2 linked regions of the Lepisosteus oculatus genome follow. The protein of the gene in region 1 interacts with the protein of each later gene in a biochemical or structural test. Links are inferred from orthologs where the notes say so. Each region holds a gene or a part of one and is shown on either strand. Other genes may lie near its edges.

Region 1 (7,036 bases):
TGTATACTTCAGACGTTGACTTTTGTGATGAAGTCATAGGAATGGTTTCCTTCTGAACACTCTCCCATGCAGATCATTTTTGTGTAAGCAACGCTGTACTGTGGACCAATGGACAACTGCTCCAGTGGCAGCTAAACGTTTCTGCAGGTCCTTTGCATTGATCTGTGGGTTCTGCTTTGCATATCTGACCCAGATTGTTCTGAGTCTTCCAGATCTTGCCTTGACTACAACAGTTCCCTTTAACTTCCATTTCTTAATGATTTCTAATAATGTTTCTAACAGTTGAAATTGCAAGCTGGAAGCATTTAGCAACCTTTTTATAGCCTTCACGTGCTTTAAAAGAGTCAGTTATCTTTATTTTGTATGAGCCCATAGTTGTTGAAAGTTGGCAGAACAACAATCACAACCTGAGAGGTTAGAAGAATCAGAGTATTTGTTCAACTGACTTAATTTAAGGCCTAATGAGTCAGTCAGGTTTAGGGACCTTTGAAAAACACAAATTAAAAAAGTAGTCATTAATCAGCTGGGAAAATGTCCAATCATTTGCGCAAGCCAAATTAACTTTTTTATCTTTTTCAATATGTTAAATTCAGCAAATAAATAGTAATTGTTCATTCAAGTTTGGAGAAAGATGTCATTTTTACATTTGTGCCATGTAGGTTATCAACTTGGTTTTACTTAGAGATTCACTGAAAATATACAATTTCAGTAGTAATTGTGATTTTACAATGCATGTTTCATATTAAATCTGAGTAATGTGAGTGAAAAGAATGCTGCTTATATTAAAATTTTAAAAGGCTAGATATCAAAACATTCCCTTGGTACCTACAAATTTAATAGCCCTGTAGTCAGTGGTTATATTGTGTGACCGATGGCTTCAATTACACAGTCTGCTTCAGCTGAACTCCTTTTTATGGACATTAATGATGGATACTGTTGTCATTATACAGTATGAGAAGTGGGATTTCCTATTGTAGTAAGGAGAATGGGTTATCTGTGAAAATACAGTGGTATATAAAGATCTAGTCACACTTGTTAACATTAAAGTACAAATGTTTTAGACTGGCATATTACAACAAAAAAAAAATATTTAGATGTACAAGTGATAAGGCACAACAGTAAAAGTACCATATGATCTTTGAACATATCAGATCTTGAAGTAAATGCATCTGTAAAAGCAGGGGAAATACTGTAGGTTATATGTGATTCAGGAAAAAAAAACAGGTAATCAGTTGTTAAAGAATGCAAACTGTGGAACTTAAGGATTTTGTAGCACTTCCAGGTTCACGTGGGTCTCAGGTCGGCCTTCTACTGCTGGGGCTCGAACCTGGGCCTCTGGCGTCACTCAGCAGGGAACCAGCCAGCTGAGCTAAAGGAAAATCTTTATATATTCACAGGGAAGGGCGGTGACATCACCACGCTGGCAAGTCGGCTCGCACAACCTGTAATGTCGGCCGTATGCGTTACAATATGAACATATATAGATTACATTATACCAATGATGGGAATATCTAGTAGGACATCAGTGGGTATAGTCCAAGATTCCAATTATAAAAATATGCAAAGGATGTGCTACGTACTAGATGTTACATGAGCACATTGTGTAAATTCTTTGACCGTACTTTATGCTGTGAAGAGTCGGTAGCTGATTTGTTTTTATATGGGGATAAAAAAGGCTGATATTTACTCTGCGCTATGTTGGGAAGCTGGGAAGCTATTAGGATGATGCTCTTTGGATCCATCAAGATTCTCTGCCACCAATTCTGGTGTCACTTTGTGTATTTTATCATTTAGCATTAAGATTAAGCTGGACTCATTGAGTTCTCAGTAAAGAGGATACTTAATGCTAAAGAGAAGTTTTTCTAGAGGGATTTTATTCTTACACTATATGTAAAATACTTTAATCTATCTACTATATACTTACAGTATATCTATATGTATCCACTATACTTATACTTTGATCATTTTGCAAAGTCTTTCTGTGTACATGAACTGAAAGGGAGATCTCTGACCTTCTTCAATCTGGTTTTCCACCTCAGTATGCAGTATGCATAATTCACATTTATATGTAGTATTCATGCCCTGTGATGGACTGGCATCCCATCCAGGGTGTGTCCTGCCTTGCACCCGCTGCTTGCTGGGATAGTCTCGAGCTCCCCCGTGACCCTGTATAGGATAAAGTGGTTAGAGAATGGATGGGTGTAGCTTTCATGATGTTTTGTGGGGTGGGCCTCTGGAAAGTCTGCTGTAGAATGATCTACCACTCTGCACAGCCTCAGAGAGCAGGCAAAGACTTGCCACTCATGGATGTGTCCTGTTGATGCCGTCGATTGGCCAGCCTCCACCAGCTGTACAGAAGGAGTGGCCAGTCTTCGCAAGGTCAGCCAGGCCCTACAGATATTCAAAGTCCGTTCCTTGATAGGCCTATTAGAAAATCAGACATTTCAGATCATCTTATGGGTACAGAAACCTGTTGGCTGGAGGATGTCAGTGTGCAGCTGTGCAAGAAGGTTGTATTGAATCTGCACCAAGTCTCAAGAGGTTCGCCCCACATTAAGACTCTGCCCTCCCAGTTGGCTTGAACAGTCAGCACTATGCAAGTCAACTTGGAATCTCCACCTGCATTCCACTTACATGCAGGTTATTCCTAGAATTTCTTCCACTGTTCTCTGCAGGCAACAACAAGATTTTGGTAACATGATGACCAATGCCAGATACAGTATTCTAAGCGATGTCTTACAGCACGTTTGAGTGTGGCTTAAAGCTTTAGCATACTTTTTATATTAAGTAGGAAGTGTTAGTTTGGCTTAGTTGAAAGTGTTAATGTTCAAGCAAAGGACTTCCAGTTTTTAAGAACAGCAGCGAAAACATCATTATCTTGGAGTTGGTACAGATGTCACATTTCTAATCAGATGTCAATAAACTGTATCAGCCATAAAGAGTGCAATAATTGAAGTAGAACCTATGTTATCTATATATGTAAATAGTAAATGTAATTCAAAATCATTTATCGAAATTATGACATGGATCCTTTCTTTTAGAAGTCATCATTATAAGTGACAGTATATTTATCTCTTCCTGTCTGGTCTCCAGAAAGAAGTATGTCTGGTATTTTTAACAGCTATGACTGTAAAGTTTGCTGTTGCTGGTGTGTTCCAGTAATTCCATTCAGTTATGTGTGAGAAATGCTTGGAGATGCAGACTTTTGAAAGAAGAATTACCAAAGGTTTCCAAGTTAAAGAGTTCAACTGTGATTTTCCTGACTGATGCTTTCTCAATATTATCAGGATTATCTGACAGCAATGTCTGATGTTGTTTATATTGGTGGTAGGTGGACGCACAGATCTTATTGCTAGCTGAAAATTAGACTTTTCAAAAAGTGTTCCATGACATGATAGACTGTACAGAATAAGCATGTAGTCTGTGCAAAAAACTGTTTTATTTGTTGTGCTAATTATTGTGTATTTAATGGTTAGTTAAATTGTGTTTATTTTATCGTTCTTTGGCACTAAAATCCCTGGGTTTATAATAGAAGCCGCACAGAAGGACGTAATCCATTCGTGCAAGCTGCCGGCACATAATTTCATTTTCCAAAGCTGCATTCCCCTGATATGCTGCCCTGCTGCTCTTCCAAGAGATTATTTTTAAAAGAAATTCTGGGTACCCCCTTTTGGCTTCAAACGCACAGACTTTGACATGGCCGCCTCTAAATTAAAGCAGTGTCGGGGTGATTTTGGGAATCAACAGCAGTTTTTGGGGGGTTAATGTTCCAAGGAATGGTTCAGATTTATCTTTTGGGTTTTATTGGGGATTATGGGGAATGTGGGAATTTACATTATCTGTCAGGGCTTAGTACCACAATTATCCCCCTGGAGCATTTTCATTAGTGTAATGTTTGAAGATCCTTAGAATTATGTAAGAATGACGCTCATGAGATTCAGAAAGCAAATTCTCGATTTGTCAACCAAAGAGTTTTCTTTTGCTCCGAAAAATATCAGTTTAACTAAATGGACCTCTTGCAACCTACATAGTTGCTGGACGGCACATAGTGTAGTCCTGTAGTGTACAAAATGAAGTACAAAAAATATCTAACTATAATGCAAGCAGCTATGGGCATTGCCCCACTGAATAAACGCGAACTTCTTCCTCAGAGTCGGAACTACAGCCTCTGGAAACAAGCAGGGTGAGTGTGGAAACAGTTTTTGCTGGAATGGGTTGAAAGTTATGAGTTTGTTAGGCAGGAATGAGAATTTCAAAAACAAAATGGGCATTCAGAGCAAAATGTTAATTAACAAACAATCTTTTTATGATTAATGTTTTTTGTTGAAGATGAACGGTGTGGCAGTGTGAGAGTTAAGGTGGGTACACAGTTTAATACCAGTTGTGCTAGAGAAGATGAAGCATTTAGGAAAGATCAACACTACAGCAGCCACAGCTATCACAGCTATGCAGTGTAATGCAGTGTTATTTGGTGCTGGGAAAGCATTATGTTTAGGGTGCTTTGCAGGAAAAGTGTTGTTAAGCCCTGCTTTGTAAAACTATAGTGTGCCAAGGTTCTAGATGTTAATTTTATTTTCATGTTATTACCTTGATCAAATTATATGATGATTAAACACAGCATATTTCAATATTCTGTTGTTTTGCTTTTAAAAAGAAAAGCTAAAATGTTTTCCAAAATAGTTCACATGTAGTATTGTGGCAGGTACTGTGTTTTAACGGCTATGTTAAATAATTATGTCTTTATACATTGTGAGGAACTGAGGCAAGGACAAACAGTGAGAAACATATCAGACTGGTCCCAATTGTCTGAATACAGCTGGGTTGGAGAAATGTTCTGGGGGCATTTTTTCAACCACTAAGCTGCCTGAGATTTTGTCTCCCAGTGGCTGGCCGAGACACTTTCTGTGTCTAATTGGCTGTCTCGTGCAGCATGCGACCGTTGTCAGTTTGCGGATGGTGTGTGGTGGCTTTCACTAGCACGCACCTGCACTGGCTTCACAGCAGCTCTCTCCTTGCAGTGAGAGCAGCATTCTGCTGAGGCAGACTGGAATACTGATACCAGACATTACTTGTGAGCAAAGACAAAGACACCAACACTTGACTTCACAAGTGCTAAAGTCAAGACACCTTCTTTTTACTTAACAGCCGCAATGCAGCTGAGGATCCTTTGCATCTTCAAGGAGCTATTAAACATAGCAAGCAATATATGCTTCTTTTGCACTGAAAAGAAGGAAGACCCGTCTCTCCGGCATAGATGCATAAGGTGAAATGGAGTAACTTCTGTAGATGAGGGGTTTGAAATAGGATGGCGTAGCTGTATGCATGCTTTCACTTTGCCCGTTTGAATGCCAGCTGTTTTCGTCTTGTGTTTATTGAAGATGGCTTTATGCCTCTGGTTTATCTGCATGGTCTTCTGAAGACAGGGATTGTGTTTATCGCTCCGATAACAGAGTTGGTTGTTTCTCTGATGCCTGTGTCTGCAGACACTAGCCTGCATGTCTGCAGCAGCTTCATCTTGCTCAGTGCAGGAAGGGCACCACAGGATGAAGTTAGGAAGGGAATAGGCAATTTACAGAGTATTTCCAGCACAATTGATTCTCCAGGCAGGACTGAGTCGGGTGCCATAGACATTGTCTATGGAATGGGTGCTGTTGTTTTTGTGTTTTTTTTTTATAATTTAGACTGCCTTCTGTTGTTTAAACTCAAATCATTAATGTCATTGTCACCTGATGACAATGGTAACATAGTATGTTACTCAAAGCTTAACTGCATCTGTTTTATAAGGAAACGTCATTTGTATCAGAATGTTTAATAGATTAATACCATCAATGATCCATTTTTATTTTTCAAAGAACAAAATGTCATTTTTTATATTTTTGAGGTGGTTCCAGTTCAAAATATTTCATACAGTGAATATTTGTGTTCCTAGGGTAATTATTAACTAAATTCTGTCTGCACTAATTTAAAGTACTACGCCAATACACTGTATAATTTAGTGTAAGAATATATGTGAATGTGTTGTAGATGGTATTATTAATATTTGTAAGATTCTATATAGAGTCGTTTAGCTCACGTGTGAATAATACCCAGTTTGGTTCTTTAAAAAATACAACAAAAAATTCAGAGTTTGCAAATTGTAAAAGAAACAACATTAACCACTCTTTTAACCACAGTCTTTTAACTAGAAACTTCTCAGCAGATAGAAGAAGTTGATTTTCTATAAAGCTTTTAAGGCAGAGTAACACATTTATTTTCTGTCACATCTGTGGTATCCAGTCTAGGCAAAATTTGATAAATGATTTGTATTTCGTATTTTGTCTAGAATTAATAATTATTCATAAAGTAACAGTGGAAAGCATTGATCTCCCTGTCTAATATCCTGCGTAGCTGGGAGAGGCTCAGGCAAGGACTGTTGTCTGTCTGTATGACTTGAAAAAGAAAATGACGTGAACTCATATATTCCCAATAACATTGTTATAGCAGGCATATTTAAAGGTAACATGACATAACATGTGAGTAATGATTAGAATGCTCACCCTAAATTAGTGAAATTCTGACCAATGTAAATCCATTAAAATTAGTTTAAAACAGAATTGGTCACATACTCTTTATTTTGTATACTTACACTTTATTAAATCAACATTCAGACACCAAGTAGTCCTTAGGAAGGATATAAAAAGCTTGGTAATGTCTCATCTTTTATCTCCAATTGGCAATAAATGTGACAATGCAACACCCAGGAGGAAGCCCAAGTCCTAATTTTACATCAAAGCATAAACGTATGATTATTCCTTATTTGCTAAAAATACGTATGAGTCCTCTTTTGATAGAAATAATTGAATTGGTATAGAAATTCTAAAGTAGTCTTATCCAACCTTATGATGTATAGAAAAAGGGAACAGCCCACAATATATCTTATGTGATTATGAAACAACTGTATGGGCAAAATGACTATTAATGCTAATTAGTACAAATCCCCTTACATACATTGTATATTACCCTCATAGTGGATAATTAAGAAAATAGCTCATGAAAA
Region 2 (7,682 bases), about 9.4 Mb from region 1:
TAGAACAAATTCAAAAACTCATTTGAAGGGCAGAGCTACCCTGCAAATTCCCCCCAAATTCTCAAGTTTGAAAAATAAAGCTGCCGTGTCAGTAAATTCTCAGCAAGGACAGCCCAACAGGTGAATTTCCAAACCCTAATGGCTGAAAAAAAACAAACAATAATTGATTGATTGATATTTTAGAACGCAAAAGACAATTGCATACTTTGCAAATTCTGATGATCAGGCTTTTGCCAGCACATAAAAATAAAGTAACACTTTATTTTAAGAGTCTCCTATAAACCATGTCTTAATCCTTTATGAGTAACACACTAGCACTTCAATGGATAACGTCTATATAAACGTTAGCTAGGTACTTTTGTGAGTTACCCGTGAGGTGACTGTCATCAGTAATAGGAATTGTCTGCCATTGTATTGTGCTTTTCATCCTTATTATTTGTGAAGTCAAAAGTGACTTAAAGACAGTACAGTAGGGACACTTTATCCATTACTGAATTACAGGACCCATCTGGGTGGATGACACACTGTCGAACCCAGTACAAAGCACAGGAGTAAGATATTATTTCACCTACTGAATTAATACATTTATGTAAGAGATTGTGCAATCCCAAGGTGAAATTCAGCACACATATATGTGCCAAGTTTCCCTGATATATAAAAAGGTATGTATTAGTCATTTACTAGCACTCAAGTTTTATTTCAGCAGAAAAGTAGTAATCTATAGCTGCAAAGGAATAGGTTTATTCCATGAATAATAAATATGAATAAAACACAGCTGCAAGTAATAGGTTTATTCCATGCTGAAAAGAGAAGAAAGAAAACACAATGTTTCAGCTGTGGAGCCTTCTTTAGGTGTAATACATAGCTTACAGCTGACCTCTAAAAACACATTCCAAAATATTTTAACATTTCTGCATTAATATAGTCTTTGAATTTTCAAACCACAGTATATTGCATTTTTCCACTGACTAAACAATGTTCTCCTACTTTTCCATGAACACAAAACTATTACCACTGTCCATATAACCAAAATCCTTAATGTGGACATTTTAACATTCCACAGTGTTTATGTTTTAAAATAATTCTACAGAAGTAGGAATTTGATATTTCATATAATGAAAGAAAAATTAAATATACAATTTTTAACACATCTGTGAGGAACAGACACACAGTAACGTATTAAGGTTTGTACCAGAAATTATGCGTCAGACATTTACTCTTCTTAGTGTTTGAATTGGTGTACAGAAACTAAACATTTATTATTTAACAATCTGAAACGGGAAAATATATATATATTTTTTAATAAAAGCTAACGCATGATCATCATATCTAAACACTGTGTTTTTTGTGAATACCGAGCGCGAAGGATGAAAAGGTGTGGTTGTATCTGGGTTATGTTGCAAAACCCGAAAACTAAAAGTAAAATCTTCATAAAGCTAATCAGGATCTGAGAACGCTCTCTAGGCGATAAAAATATGAATTACTGCTCAACATAAAACAGCCCTCCATAAGATAACACAAATAAACGTTTGTAACGCAATTCACTAAATGAAAGGGAGTTAAAAGGGTATGCGGATCTCCAATTACTAAAAATGTACACTTTGAACTGGGAGAGATCTAAGAAACGCAATTAATATCAAATAAGCTTTAAGTTGTCCAACTGGAAATTTGGTAGTTTCGAACATGTGGTTTTTCTACCGTCAGTTTTAATTTCGATTAGTCATATTCGATCCGTTGTTTTGACACTACAAGCTTATTAGAATATTCTTCTTTAGGAATGAGATCTCGCAAATAATATTGAGAACTGGCAAATTTCTCTGGCGTAATTATAGGCAACTCGTGTCAACAAATAGCTTAAATAAAGTTTTCGACATTTTTCAATCACTGAACAAAAACCGAATAAATCAGGTAACAAACCTCAGAAACAGGTTATTTCATATCTGCTCCAGTTTATAATGCGAAGCCGTTTTATTCTTTAATATGTAGTTCAAAAGCTCAATTAAAAATGAGGAGAGGCAACGTGAATAACCCCGTATGGACATTAAGTTTGTGAAACCTACCCATTTTTAAAATACTGTATATGTTCGGTTCGCCATACAAAACACCATTCAGATTAACCAGGTTTGAACAGAACAAGAGTAGGCAGTTTTATTAAGATTAATACGATGACGTTAGTTTATTAAAACCCGCCCAGTCTCTATCATACCTGAAGACAAAACACCTGTGCAAAGAAACTAAAACAGAAATTCGTCCATTGCGCAACGTTTTCAGGTGTACGTTTGAAATAAACCTGAAACAAATCGTTTCTGAAACGAGGAAAATCATGTTTACATTCTCTCAGAACACAACCAGCATTTTCAGTGGTGCCTCCGACAGGAAAACGACCATTTTACCGAGTTAAATTATAATCGTCTACGGCAAGGCAACTTTACAATTAAAAAAATAATAATTCGCTGCAGTATTTTGACCTGTTTTTTAAAAACGGAACATTTTTTCTTCTCTTATCTCAATTGAAAAATCAACCTTACTAGGTAAAGAACATGAAGAAAATATTACAACAACGTGGAGAAAACGCCACCGGCAATAGAAACAACAAAAACAAAACACCCGCAGATGTACTTCTCTGATGTTAACCTACTAAACAAGACAAAATATAAGTATAAAATACGTGTTGTACGTATACTCGTAACAATATATAAGCAATAAACTTACCAAACCTCTTCAGTATTTCCACACCTGCCTTGTGTCTGCTAAAACCCGTATGCCAATACTGGCGCAGGACACACCTTGCTCTCAGAGACTCACAGGACTGGTGCTGCTCCTGTCTGCAACGTCATTGGTGATCCCGAAACGGTTCTCTGTTCAGCATCAAATAAACCTTTACTTGTTCCTCATTGGTGATGTCAGGCTTGATTTCCACCCCGCCGTAGACCAAACCTGGATTCATAACAAAGCACACCAACCGGTTCCCCTGGTAGATACTGGCAGGTTAACTTTCTGTGCGCGTAGGTGGAGTGTTTTTGTCGGAGATATTTTTTAGACTACCTGTAATTGCAGGATTCAGTACCTCTAATTAACACTCCTCAATTACACAGCTGAATAACTGTGCTGGTTAAGAATAGAGAAAACGATAAAAGCAACGAAACCGTAATCTGTACTGGTACCGGGAGCCCTAGGCATTTTAACTCTATAATGTGAAATCGATAGAAACAATCGTGTCAGATTTTCAAGATGGCAGCCGTCCACTTGTCACATTCCTGTTAACATATTTTCATACATGAGAAACATGCTCGTCACTACGTAGGTTTTAATACATTTGATCTGAATGTTTATTCGAAACACTCCCTTCGATGCGCAGTCGTTTGGTTGCTGTAGTGGTGAAGTAAACTTTCATGAACGTCTTTCTTCCCGTTGCCACATCACGAGACAGAAACTACTCTCTTGCTGACAACTGCAGAAAAAGTTTTAACCAGCAAAACTGGGAACCTCTGATTGTGATCTTACAGCAACCTGAGCTGGACTACTCAAATTGAGAGTTTGTATTTTTGCGAAGATTAAGAGTGAAGTTGGAAGGGAATGCTCGTCTTTTACCGTGCTATAATCGAGAGCGTGGATTGCTCATGTATTGGTCCAATTAAGATAAAAAAAAAGTCACCCGTCTTGTCCAAACAGCAAAGATTATGAGAGTAAAGCAGCATCTCTTGCAGACGATATTTGAACAATCCAAGATTTTACAGGTGGAAAAATTATATCAAATCATTTTCCTGTTCTTAATTCTCGTAACTTCTTCTTTCCGGAAAACGTTTTAGGGTTCCAAAAATGTAGATAAAATAGATATAATAATAATAATTGTTTTCACTTACATAGCGCTTTACAGGTAATGGGGACTCCCCTCTACCACCACCAATGTGCAGCATCCACCAGCATCTACAAATATGTATTTGGATTGTAATTGTATCTAAGAAAGCAGTTAACATAAATACATGGAATTACAATTCAGAATAATTTATTAAATGAAATCCAACTGATCTGATCCAATTCCAAAACAGAGGTGTTTATACTGAACTCTTATGTGGTAGGCCCCCCTTTTGTGAACAGGACCAGAGGGTCTTTAAGGACCAAAAGTCAGGATCTTGTCTTAATGTCTCAAATGAACAACGATTGTACATCTGCTGGTCCACCAACACGACTTACCAATGATCCAGCTTGACAGTGTGGAAAGTTGCCCTGGGGTATTTGTGTGGTATTATTCTATACAGTATCAACTCCTCCCTCGCTCTGCATCCGAACAATATGCCGCTGAAGCAACATAGACTAGCTGAGCTTCACAGCAAAGAATGCATTTGATAACTGCAAAACAGGACATGACTACCGTGACAGTTAAATGGGACAACAAATCAGCATGTATTTGCATCTGGAGAACTTAAAGGCAGTAGAAATGTACAGTAACACCATTGTTCCAGTCTGTGTGGTTTGCAATCCATCGTAATAAGATAGTCAAATAATTTCATGAAGGGTTTTGATAATAAATTTACTGACAAGTTGTTTACGCAATTTTGTAAGAAAAAAATAGTGGCATTATTAAAAATGATATTTGGCTAAAAGCTTTAAAAAAACCATCAGTTATTAATTTTTCACACCTGTACATCAGAGAATCTCACCCATAATTGATTTAAATATAGGACCCAATTCCACTCTGCGGCCAGCTGAGTAAAAACAAAGCATGGATAGCAGAATCCTAGATTCAGTACATGTGTTGTGGAGAAAATGGTGCTGAGGACATAGAAATAATTCTTAAGATAGATAAGGACATGTGGCTTTTCGTATTCGTATTTTCGCTTTTCGACATGTGGCTTTATTGTATATAGCGCCTTTAAAAGTGGGTTCTCAAAGCACTTTATAGAACAATAAAAACAAAAATGAAAAAATATAACATATACAGTACACACTGAGAATACACAATGAGAGGAGACAGTAGATGGAGGTACTGAGTACAGCAGGAGCAGAGGGGTGAAGAACAGAACCAGTTAAGTAAAGGCTCTTCCAAAAAAGAAGGGTTTTGAGGAGTTTAGAGAAGGTGACTCTCTGATATTCCTGGGGAAAGAGTTCCAGAGCTTTGGGGCATAACAGGAGAAGACCCTGTCACTCAGAGTGTAGATGGGCTTGGGGGACAGGTAGGAGACCACAATTAGAAGAGCGAAGGTTGTGAGGTGAGGAGTAGGGCTATAGTAGCTCACACAGGTACTGAGGTGCCAAGCCATGCCAAGCCTTATGTCAGGAACTGATAGGTTGAGTAGGAGGATCCCATGCGATGCCGTGAACTCTGCGGAATGCAGAGTAGCACTAGAACTTAATCCGAGGCATGGATTCCTGAGGCTAGGTCGGGAGAAGTAGCAATGAGTCAGGTTACCAGGGTAATCCAAACGAGGGCAAGAAATCCGAGAAGCAGTATCCAAGTAGTGAAGTTGATAAGGGAAGAGTTTAGTCCAGGAACTGTGAAAATCAGTAGAGAACTCTAAGGGAAGCTTCTCCATCGTGTGCGTGGGTTGGTAACTGAGGGAAGCTTGAATACTGAAGGGAGAGAGATGTGGTTGGATAATTGGTTCAGGAGTGAAAGTCTGTGGAATCGGATGCATGTGTGAATGTGGTGGTTTCCGTGGGAATGAGTGTGTGAAACAGTGGGTTTGGGAATGCCATGGCGTTTGCGAGGAGAAGTGTGGGATTTGACACCTTATAGGTGAGCATGGGGATTTTGAAGTCGACATGAAACTTGACAGGAAGCCAGTGCAAGAACTCCAGGATTGGAGTAATGGGATCACTTGCACTAGACCTGGTCAGGATTCTGGCTGCCAAATCTTTGGACACACTGGAGTTTTTTGTTCAGTGTGGATTTAGAAACCCCAGCGCGTAGAGCATTACAGTAGTCGATCCGGGAGAAGACAAATGTGTTGATCAGCTTTTCAGCCACAGGTAGCAATAACATAGGACATAGTCTAGCGATATGTTTGAGGTGAAAGAAAATGTTTTTGATATGTTGCACGTGTGGGTCGGATGTCTAGCCTGAATCAAATATCACCCCCAAATTTTTCCATTTAGACTGACGTTCAAGTACAGCCTTGGCTTTACAAAGCTGATGGGGGCGCCAATAAGCATGACATCAGTCTTGTCACAGTTTGACGAAGGACATTTTGAGACATCCATGTTTTTGATGGCGGAGATGCGATTAGACAGAAAAGAGACAGCCAGGTCAGTGTCAGGTTTGGTATGGATGTAGATTTGAGTAGCTTTGTGTAAAGAGGTACTTCCTGCTTAGCAACCAATCCACATTTCTTTAAAATCTTTGCCAAGACTCTTTATTTGACAAAAAGCTAGGGAGGCATTAAATATATGTGGGGAAAAGACTATGCTGATCATTTCTATATAGTACTTCACGTTTAAGGCAAACATTTCTTAAGTGACTGTGGGGAATCTTTCTGTGGTATTCAAAAATCAGACTGAGCTGAACTTTAGGTAAAGTAAACCAAAAACCCCTGAAAAATATGTTTTTAGTGAAACAAATATAAGGCAAGTCCAGTATGAAAACATCTCTACAGAAGTATTTATCGATATTCTACTATATCTACCACACACTGTTTGTAGTCAAAATGTAGAAGTTTATTTACAAGTTAGTTTACAAAACACAACAAGACAGGAGTGGCTGCTGTTGAACATTTCTTGCAATGCCAAGGTGCGATTATGTTTCAATAACAGTAGGCTACCACAAAAACAACACAGAAAGCATCTATTTAAGCAGAACCGAAAAAAGGACTTTCAGCAACACGGGCAAAGCAAGAACACCGCCAAGCAAATGCTTTGAAATTTGCTCTCAGTACTGTAATGGTAGGCAGTCTGTTGAATGCCAGTCTTCTGCTACATCAGCGATCCTCACTTGTTGTAAGACACAGCTCTGTGTTTCAGAGGGAGCTCACACACTCACCAGTGAATAGAAACGTGGAAACCGTTTGTTTTAGTAGATATTAAATCAATGCTTGATTCAACTAACTAATTAAGAGCTTTGGTAGAGTGAACATCAGTGGAGACTGTGGCTCATGAGGCCCTGAACTACACAACACCAGTAGGACCAAGGGTGGGGTGATCTGAGTTCTCTGTAATTGTGTAGCTCTTCGGGTCCACCAGGGCTGGTTCGATTCAGGGATTTCCAGTCCTGGTTCTGGGGACGCCTGTAACGAACAGTTCTTTCCGGACCCTATGCAGATGACACAATCCGACGGAGTGGGGAAACACTAGGGAAACGTCATGCAGGAATACGGGGCAGAAGACAGGGGGGCGTGTCCACGGTGCGCTGGTGCACAGGGGAGTGTGGCCGAGGCGAACAATCCGAGAGAGTAGTCCTTAGGGAATATCCAAAACACACGAGAAAGTCCAAAACCAGAAGATCCATCAGAACAAGTTAAAAACCATGAAGGCCGGGTCGGAACCGGAATGGGAACGGAGGTTAAAACCTTAACGGGACCAGGCGCTTCCAGGTCCCGGACTCGCACGATATGGAAATCAGATGCAGAGCCCGGAAGAGCGTCAGCGCCTGGCTTTTAAGGTGGGCTGGGAATAGGGAGCAGGTGCATAGAATAGAGTCTTTAGTGAAAGGGCTGGAGCACCCTTAAGGAGGGGGAACTAATATCGTG

What was found. The genes of interacting proteins can lie anywhere in the genome.
Region 2: the proteins of tjp2b (region 1) and occludin form a complex in vitro, tested with the Homo sapiens proteins (3 studies listed by BioGRID). The link is inferred for Lepisosteus oculatus from reciprocal best matches to the Homo sapiens genes TJP2 and OCLN.

The regions. Positions count from the first base shown.
Region 1 is NC_090698.1:57,834,359-57,841,394, forward strand, and holds the start of tjp2b (tight junction protein ZO-2b), read left to right. Parts: upstream 1-4,019; 5' UTR 4,020-4,070; coding exon 4,071-4,183; intron 4,184-5,029; exon of another isoform or gene 5,030-5,150; coding exon of another isoform or gene 5,151-5,263; intron 5,264-7,036. UniProt on the Homo sapiens protein: Plays a role in tight junctions and adherens junctions. Acts as a positive regulator of RANKL-induced osteoclast differentiation, potentially via mediating downstream transcriptional activity.
Region 2 is NC_090698.1:67,187,310-67,194,991, reverse strand, and holds the start of occludin, read right to left. Parts: upstream 3,011-7,682; 5' UTR 2,713-3,010; intron 1-2,712. UniProt on the Homo sapiens protein: May play a role in the formation and regulation of the tight junction (TJ) paracellular permeability barrier.